Mus musculus: one gene and its partner. The protein of the gene in region 1 interacts with the protein of each later gene in a pairwise test. Links are inferred from orthologs where the notes say so. Each region holds a gene or a part of one and is shown in the gene's direction. Other genes may lie near its edges. The genes, in order: Hspd1 and Samd3.

What was found.
Region 2: the proteins of Hspd1 (region 1) and Samd3 interact in binary tests that used the Homo sapiens proteins (3 or more experiments, as listed by UniProt). The two-hybrid records come from large-scale screens. The link is inferred for Mus musculus from reciprocal best matches to the Homo sapiens genes HSPD1 and SAMD3.

The regions. Positions count from the first base shown.
Region 1 is NC_000067.6:55,084,936-55,089,516, reverse strand, and holds the start of Hspd1 (60 kDa heat shock protein, mitochondrial), read left to right. Parts: upstream 1-1,584; 5' UTR 1,585-1,738; intron 1,739-2,575; 5' UTR 2,576-2,577; coding exon 2,578-2,751; intron 2,752-4,581. Other genes in the region: Hspe1 (10 kDa heat shock protein, mitochondrial), read right to left, coding at 302-466, 1,105-1,107. UniProt on the Homo sapiens protein: Chaperonin implicated in mitochondrial protein import and macromolecular assembly. Together with Hsp10, facilitates the correct folding of imported proteins.
Region 2 is NC_000076.6:26,228,250-26,232,601, forward strand, and holds the start of Samd3 (sterile alpha motif domain-containing protein 3), read left to right. Parts: upstream 1-1,457; 5' UTR 1,458-1,506; coding exon of another isoform or gene 1,507-1,565; intron 1,566-1,854; coding exon of another isoform or gene 1,855-1,876; coding exon 1,877-1,955; intron 1,956-1,968; exon of another isoform or gene 1,969-2,200; intron 2,201-2,231; exon of another isoform or gene 2,232-2,278; intron 2,279-2,578; coding exon 2,579-2,768; intron 2,769-4,352.

The DNA.
Region 1 (4,581 bases):
CCAGACTAGTCAACACTTTACCCCAAAGGAGTAAGGTGGAGATGCCCCTGCTACACAGCATATAGACATGTGCAAACACGTCACACAAATACCTTTTGCCTTTCTTCAGAAACATAAAATAATTCTAAAACAATATAAAACAGTCATTTTCCTGAATGGGAGGTTCTTTGTGAATTGAAATTTGACTTGAAATTCTTCCCCCCAAAAATGCCATTGTAATTCATTTTTTTAATTACCAAAGGAATTCCCCTCCTTCCACATCACACTGGAATTCAGTACCACTCCAGGGGCACCAGTTTACCTTTCCTTTCCCTCCTGACCCCACAGCCACGACCGTTGCTTGCAACACTTTTCCTTGAGACTTTTCTGGAAGCATAATGCCACCTTTGGTTACAGTTTCGGCAGCACTCCTTTCAACCAATACTCTGTCAAAGAGCGGAAGAAACTTCCTAAAAGCTTGTCCAGCCTGTGGAGAGAAATGTGATCAAACAGAGTGTAAGTTCGAAGTGTCAGAACACGAACAGTTAAGACCACCGCAAGCCTTAACTCTCAACAGGTCAAAACTGACCTGTTCCAAAAAGGACAAGAAAATTCAAGTGTACTTTTAGAATATACTCAGTGTTCCACTCTATATAGGACAAACTGAGTTTCATTTCCCTGTCTGGTGTGTGTGTGTGTGTGGTGGTGGTGGTGGGGGGGGGTCTTCATTACTAATCAGCAATCGCCACCTTGATCTATTCCAAGGTCAAACATTTCTTTAATTTTTTTAAAAATTCGAATAACGGGGGAGTGGCGTCACTTTTCGAGCCTGGATCTTAGTCTTTCTCCAACATAGGACACATCCACTGAAGCCCTGCCAGGGCAGGTGGGCTTCTGCGTGTGCATCGGGTTCCCGCCCCCTGCCCCAGACGCTTTGTCGCACACGTGCGTGCGGCAAAGCCATGGTGGAGAGAGAAATGGCCTCGCTTCTGCAGAGCCATGGGCGGACACCGGACACTGACCAGACCCCGGACCCCTGTCCTATTAGTCCCAAAGCGCACAAGGGTTCGCCGTGGGCCGCAGGCCGAACTGGACCCGCAGGCCTGCCAACCACGAGACACTCACCATGACTCTCGCCTTCGCCGCCACCACCGCAGCTCCGGACTCTGAACTCGGGCCGCTGCTGCAAGGAGAGTCCTGCTGGCCGGCTGGGACACGTGAAAAGGCCGCGCAGCGCGCAGGCGCACTCAGCCCCCCGAGCGTGAGAGGGGGCGGCCACGCCGACGCGCGCGCCGATTGGTGGCGAGGGCTCCGCGCAAGGGGGCCGACGCGGGCGGCCGGAGGCGGAAGAAAAGGGGAGCACTTTCTAGGCTTTTCCAGGCCGGCCGCCGAGGTGAAAGAACGAGCCCCCCTCCCGGAAATGACGCCACTTGACCTTTCACCCACGGGACGCGCGGGGCCTTCCGGAAGGTTCTAGAACGGACCGTGGCCCAGGAACCAGCGTAGGGCGGCGGGAGAGGGCTGAGGCCGCAGAGCTGAGGCGGCTCTGGTACGGAGGGCGGGGCCGCGCGCGCCGCATGCAGATTGCAGGGCCCCGGCGTGGGAGAGAGCGGGGGGCGCGCGCGCGCACACGCGGGGCCGCGGGGCGGGGCGGGGAGGGAGGGGACTCGGGCTCATTGCGGTGCGCGCCCAGAGCTGGGTCCCTCACTCGCCGCAGACGGCCTGCCTCGCCTCGTGCTCTCCTGCCGCCGCCCCGCAGGTACGCGGCCTCGGCGTGCAGGGCGCCCCGGCGCTCGCGGGGGGCTGCTTGCAGCGCGGACCGAGCACGGAGGACTAGGGGGAGAAGTCTGGCAGCGACGCCGCAGGCTCGGCTCACTTGTCCAGGCCCAGCGGGGCCACGCTGGTTTCATCACGTGTGGCGGGGACCACGCGATCCAGGCCGAGCGCCGGAGCAAGGGCGGGCTAGGGTGGAAGCAACTTGGGCCCTCTGGTGCCACCTGCGCCTGGCGCACTGCAGGACTCTGTGGGAGGGTGGTCGGGGTCCTTTAGTCCCCGGTGGCCGCGGCGGTCCGGTGTTCACTTTGACCTTGCTCGGGGCTCCTGGTCGGGAAGACACGTGGGGCCGCGAGGCTGGACTGACCTACTGTCTTTTCCTCCGGCCTTGCTAGCTGCTGTGTTACCGTAGCTTCGGGTGGATACCTGGCGACACACTCAGAGGGTTTTGCACCGTCATGAGTACTTCTGTAGTTCTCTAGGCAATTGCATTTAGAACCTGCCTTGCTTGCACCAACTTGATTTTTTTCCTTTGGACACTTTTCGGAGTGGATCTGCTCCCAAGGCCGCTTTGGCAGTGAAAGATTAACTTGAGAGGGCAGAGTGGGTGGCCATGGGGATGTGGTTTTCTGTGCTTTGTGCTTATGCTGTTGGTCAGGCTTGGGGTCAGCCTCCATGATCAGTTGGCTAGCAGATTATGCCCTGAATCTGCAGCGCCCAGGCATGGTGGTTAGCAGAGGACAGCCCAGCTCCAATCTAGCCTCCCATGTTTTGAAGCACCGTTGGACAAGTTTGTAGTGATTTTTCTTTTTTCCTTCCCCAGAAATGCTTCGACTACCCACAGTCCTTCGCCAGATGAGACCAGTGTCCCGGGCACTGGCTCCTCATCTCACTCGGGCCTATGCCAAAGATGTAAAATTTGGTGCGGACGCTCGAGCCTTAATGCTTCAAGGTGTAGACCTTTTAGCAGATGCTGTAGCTGTTACAATGGGGCCAAAGGTACCAGTATACTTAAATGGTGTTAAAGAATATAGTAGCTGCAAGACAGCAATTTGTTATCAAGTTTTGTGAAAAATCTAATTTGCATGTGGTACAACTTAGTGGTCTAGAGGTGTTATTTAGTCAGGAGGTCTATTGGTCATTCTACCACCATGGTGTCCTTACTACTGCTCCAGGCGATTTGGGGGACTTTTGTACATTGTGATGTAATAGAGTAGTAATATCTCAAGGAGGATTTTCAAACTATAGTCATGATTTTGTGCATGCTTGCATTAAATTTTGGATCTCGTCCCAGTAGTTAGAGGGTATAGAGGGGAAAGTACAACTTAAGTCTAATAATACCTCAAAGTATATAGCTGTAATGTGAGAGTTCACTCATTGTGCTGAAATACTCCAACACATAAGGCAAAATGCACTAGCATAGAATCATTGGTTTCTGTGTTTTTTGTTTTGTTTTTTTAAGTAACTAAACCTTTTTTTTTCAAGATTTATTTATTATATGTAAGTACACTGTAGCTGTTTTCAGGCACACCAGAAGAGGGTGTCAGATCTCATTACGGGTGGTTGTGAGCCACCATGTGGTTGCTGGGATTTGAAGGTTGCTGGGACCTTCGGAAGAGCAGTCAGTGCTCTTACCCGCTGAGCCATCTTTACAAACTTTACTTTATGGGCTTTGTTGTTTGGGGGTTTTGTTTTTAAGACAGCATTTCTCCGGTAGCCTAGACTGTCCTGAGACTCAGAGCGATCCATCCACCAGCTTCTGCAACACATATCACCAGACTGTTTTCACTTGCCCTTGGGAGAAAACCTTTGTGGTCTTCCATTCGTCCCTTCATTGTACACCTCGTGATTGCTACAATTTTCACATTGCAAAAAAATTGTCCAGTTTTTGCTTTTGAGAGAGTCTCACTAGCTTAGTCTGAGTTCTAACTCCCTTGTGGCAAGGCTGTCCTTGAACAACTTACATCTCAAGTGTAGGAATTCAGTATTATACTCACAGGGTCTCTAACCATAGCTGGCCAAGTCAGCCTTGAACTCAGAGCAGTGCTAAGATCAGAGGTTGTGATCACACATTTGTGTGGCTGAATAGGGAGCTATAGTACTTTGAGGACACCATTGGATGTGGTGCACAGTCATTTTAAATTAATGCTAAACTGGTCTAAAGAGCTGCATAATCCCAACACTCAGGAGGCTTAGGCTGGTAGTTCTCTAAGTTTCAGGAAAGCATGGCAACAATAGAAATCCTGTCTTGAAAAACAAAACAACAAAAAAACCTGCATCTTTTTTTTTTTTCTCGTATTTTCCTCAATTACATTTCCAATGCTATCCCAAAAGTCTTCCACACATGCACCCCCCCCCCCAAAACCTGCATCTTTAAGAACTGTTTACATAGCTCAAGACAATAGAAGTTTGGTTCAAATCCAAAAGTTGCCAATACTTGTTGGTGTCATATTTGAAGTTTTTTATTGAGCGAACCAGAAAAGCACATTATCTTACTGGCTGATATTTAGTGAATGAATTTTAAAGCAAAACATGTTTTAAAAATAGTTCATAAGCAGGGCTGTAGTGGTAGTGGTGCATGCCTCTAATTCCAGCTAGCCTTTAGGAGGCAGAGGCAAGCAGATCTTTGTGTTTTGTGAGTTTGAGGACAGGAAAGGCTACACAGAAATGTCCTGTCTCAGAAAACAAAATAAACCTAGGTCATAGCCAAAACTCAAGTGCAAATGATGTGAAGAGTGTTCTGGGATTTGGCGATTAACATCTGTGCTTTCTTGTTTTATGGGTGGCATCTGTTAGTACCAGGGAATTCCTGTTGTGCTTCATTCAATG
Region 2 (4,352 bases), on another chromosome or scaffold:
TGGTGTTTAAGATGTGTTCTCTCTCTCTCTCTCTCTCTCTCTCTCTCTCTCTCTCTTCAATTTTTTCTAACTCTTACTCTTCACAAGGAAGCCAGAAGTGTGACAGAAAGGTGTGATTTTTAATTTACACCAGAGTCTTGCAAATAATGACTTTTCACACCCTGCAATTGCTGCTTAGCCTGGGGAGGAGCTTTGTGGCTACTGTTTGTTGAAGCAAATTAAATCCACTGTTGAAATTCTAAAGGTGTTCCTCTGTATTTAACCCTTGTTTTCAGTTTTTCCAGTCAGTGTTTGTGGATACTTAGGAGTGTGTGGCCCATTACTTTGAAGTTTCTTGTTTTCTAGGAAACTGCTTTTGAAGGCTGTTATTGTCAGGTTTTCTTGAATGTTGGGTACATCTTTTTTTCTTCCTACTGGGGATTATTTTTCTGATGTTGGTAACTATAATTTAGTTAAAAACACAAAATTAAAAACTACAAAGATGTTCTCACACACACACACACACACACACACACACACACACACAAACACATCTATATTCCAATTCCACCAAGGGAACCTTCTCACTTTGTCTTTACAAAATAGCAGGTATCATACAGAAAAATGATAAATCATCTGGAATAAAAGTCAATGTTGAAAATAATGTTGAAGGGTTAAAATAATTTAAGACTGTTTTTGACTTTGTTTCTATCAATTCCTTAGAAGTCTCCTGGGTTGAATTATAAATGCAGAAAAAAAGCTTCCTCGAGGAAATTACAAATTTATGGAAGATGGTAGACTGGTCTGTTGGTGCAAAGTTAGTGGGGGTAGTTAAGAGTGATCCATGCAAAATCTGTGTTTGCTTCTTTCACTTTGACAACACTAACATCTTCAGGTATGTCCTAACTTGACCTGCACAACTAACTACATAGATATAGATATATAAAGATATATGCATACCCATGTGTATGTATCCTCATATTTCTATATCTTCATATATGTATACACATGTATATATATGCATATATACATATATATGTATAAATATGCATATGTGTGTATATTATACATATTTGTATATACATATATGTGTATATACATATATGTTATAACCGATAAAGCTATAGATAGATAGATAGATAGATAGATAGATAGATAGATAGATAGACAGACAGATAGATGTGTTACAATAGTGTTTGGTACTGTTTGAGAGCATACTCCAGTATGTAGGAGTAACATTGGAACGACAGGAGAATGGCACATGAGGCTAGTTTCCCCTGAGAAAAGAGTTTGCTGCTGGCCCAGAGCTGTGAGGACAGTGGGTCATCTCTCTCTTAGTTGGGAGAAGCAAGGGGTTAAGGCATCCTGGTTTACTTACGTCTCTCAGTCAGACTTTTATCTGATCCTTCCTCCCTTTCTCCCCTGCCCACCCCTCTGTAAATGTCAACCACTTCCTGATGATTTCACACCTTTCTGTTCTTTGTGAAGAAACCTGGGTGTTAATGGTACAGCATTGGGTACCATTGTATGTGCCGGCTGTCTGCTATTGAAGCTGACGGATGCCTGCGGAAATCAAGTAGGAGAAGGTGAAGAAATGAGACTGAGAAATAGGCTAAAATCCACCTTTAAGCAACAATTTGATTTATTAGCAACTTTTACATGTTGCATTGTAGAAACATTTTCTTTTTAAAGCCATGTATTGAAAGGAGTTTAGCAGAGGAGAGAAAGCTGACTGTTTAAAAATCTAATCAAAGACTAATAATCAGAGAGGGAGGAAGGAAGGAAGGAAGGAAGGAAGGAAGGAAGGAAGGAAGGAAGGAAGGAAGGGAGGGAGACAGGCAAGCAGGCAAGCTATCCCCACTTTTTATTCTACAGGTGTATTGACAAGAATCCAGCAATGGAAACGTGGTCAGTTGATCAGGTCTGCAAATGGTTGGTGGAAAAAAACTTAGGTGAGCTAGTCCCCAGGTTTCAAGGTAAGTTGTTTGTATACTTTGTGTGGATTTTATTTGAGCCATGCAGTCGTGCGGGTGCGCTCTGTTGTGAAAGCTGCTTTTCTTGCCTAGGGTCTGCCTGTTTGTGGATAAGGAGCTGTTCTGATGAGGAACTTCATCTCTTTCCCACAGACTGAGGCAGTTTCCAGTTTACCTAGCATCCTCTGAAGAGAGTGTTATTTCCAGATGATTGCAAACTCTTGGAAGTTACCTTTGACATAGACTTTGTGTGTTTCTTTTGTCTTACATAATCACTCGTGTTCTATACAGTATGGGATGTGCCAGTGTTAAATAGCAAGTAGGAGGTATTATAAAAATAGCTTCCCCGAAAGACTTCTATTTCTGTTGACTGTAAAAATTGGCCTGGAAAAGGGGTATTAATATGCAAACAAACAAACGCAGTTTTTATTGGGACTTGCGGTCTGGTGATTTCTTAGCAGCAGGCTTCAGTTTGGAACTATGCTGTATTAGAGCCCTGACAGATAATGCAGTGACTGCCATCTCAAGCTTAGATAATCGTTTTAAAACCAGAACTAGTTTTATCTTCTTTCTGTGCCCATGTTTTCCTGGAAAGTGATATGAAAGTTAATTTTCTTTTTTCCCAGAGGAAGAAGTCAGTGGGGCCACACTCCTGGCCCTTAATGATCGGATGGTACAGCAACTGGTAAAGAAAATTGGACACCAGGCTGTTCTGATGGACTTCATTAAGAAATACAAGCAGGGCAATCAAGAGCTGAAGCCTACGGGAGGCCCCGCAGATACATCCACGCTGACCCCGGCACAAGCGGCCCCTGAGTGAGTACACCAGAGAACGGGCTAGGTTTTTGGTCCCTGTTTATGCACGGCTATTGCCTTGTGTCAAAGAATCAAAGCTTTTAAAACTGTGGACAAATTTCAGTTAGATGGTATGCACAGGACTTCTAATATTTGACCAGCATGTATGAAGAATTGAGTCAGAATTTGTTGTTTTTCTTTCCACTATTCTTTAAAAACCGACAGTGGCTGTTAAGGCAATCCTGCAGGCACGAAGTTCCTATGCTACGTGATCTGGAGCCCACAGTAGAACGAATGCGTTAGGTGTAGAAACTGCATGTATGATGTAACTGGGCTACTACAAGGACCTGTGGCTGGTCCTTTGCCATGTCCCAAACTATTTGTTCATTTGTGTGTTTATTTGCATAGGTCTCCCTGTGGTAACTAATTCATACTTTTCTCAAAGGCCTTTCACAATAGCAATTGCTAACACCTTTGTCACAACTGAGTTTCATACTTCTTTGAAAACTGATCATAAAGTAAAGACCACTGTGACAGAAACACCGAGACATCATTCAGAACATTCACAGTGTCACAAAGAAGCTCTCAAGTTGGAGGGTGGCTATGTTTGTTAGTTTGCTTTTAATCTCTTAACTCCGGAATGGAAAGGAATGGTAACGAGCTTCATCAATTAAAATGTTTTACAAATCCATGCATCAAGATTCTTTCAGGCACTCTGATTTACTATTTCCACACCTGAGACTGGTCATAACTTTTAAGGTTAAATATTTGCTATTAACCAATCACCATTCTTTTTTTTTTCTTTTTGTAAAATGTGATATTGAATGGTATCATTTTATTTTTTTTCCTTTTCTGAAATTAGGCCTATAAGTATAAGTATTTCTTTCTTTTTTGATAAACAATATAACATCAGAGAGACTTGGCTTAAGTAATTTAATTTCTACTTGGTGTACTTGGATTATTTGGTAGCCATGAAGGGCTAAAGATGTGGATGGGGTTAGCTTGTAACCCCAGCAGTTAAAAGGTCGAGGCAGAAGGATTGCTATGAGGTTGAAGCTGGTCTAAGGTACAGAGATAAATGTTGTCTTTAAAAAATAATAACAATAGTTACAAAGGAAGTCAAAGCGGAAATTCTTCCAAGTGATTTATTTGAAGGAGTTCTTTCTTTATGACCCTGGTTGAAGCAGGGTATTGGGTCTGTGACATTTGTGTGAAGTTCTCACTGTAACCTTTTAATGCTCTCTAGAGAAAGGGAGGGGTGAGCTTCAAAGGGACTGCAGTGTCACTTCCAAGAACATTTGGGTGAGCTGGAAGTCCCTCCCCAGTTGACTGGAATCTTGATCTTGCCTTGGGCATAGCTCAGAAAAAAAAACCAAAACAAAATCAAAAATAAAAAAAAAAAAAAAACCCTGGCAGGCCATCAATCCACTTCTCTGCTCTGTAGCACACTAGAAGTTGTTGGACTGCCAAGAGCTAGGACTTCATTCTTGGTTTTATTGGCTGACTTAGATTCATTCTGTTCAATGTTTGGAAGTTTTGTTTCTTCATCTGCGTATCAAGAAAGCCTCTGAACTCTGAACTGCTTGAATTCACATCATGAAACAC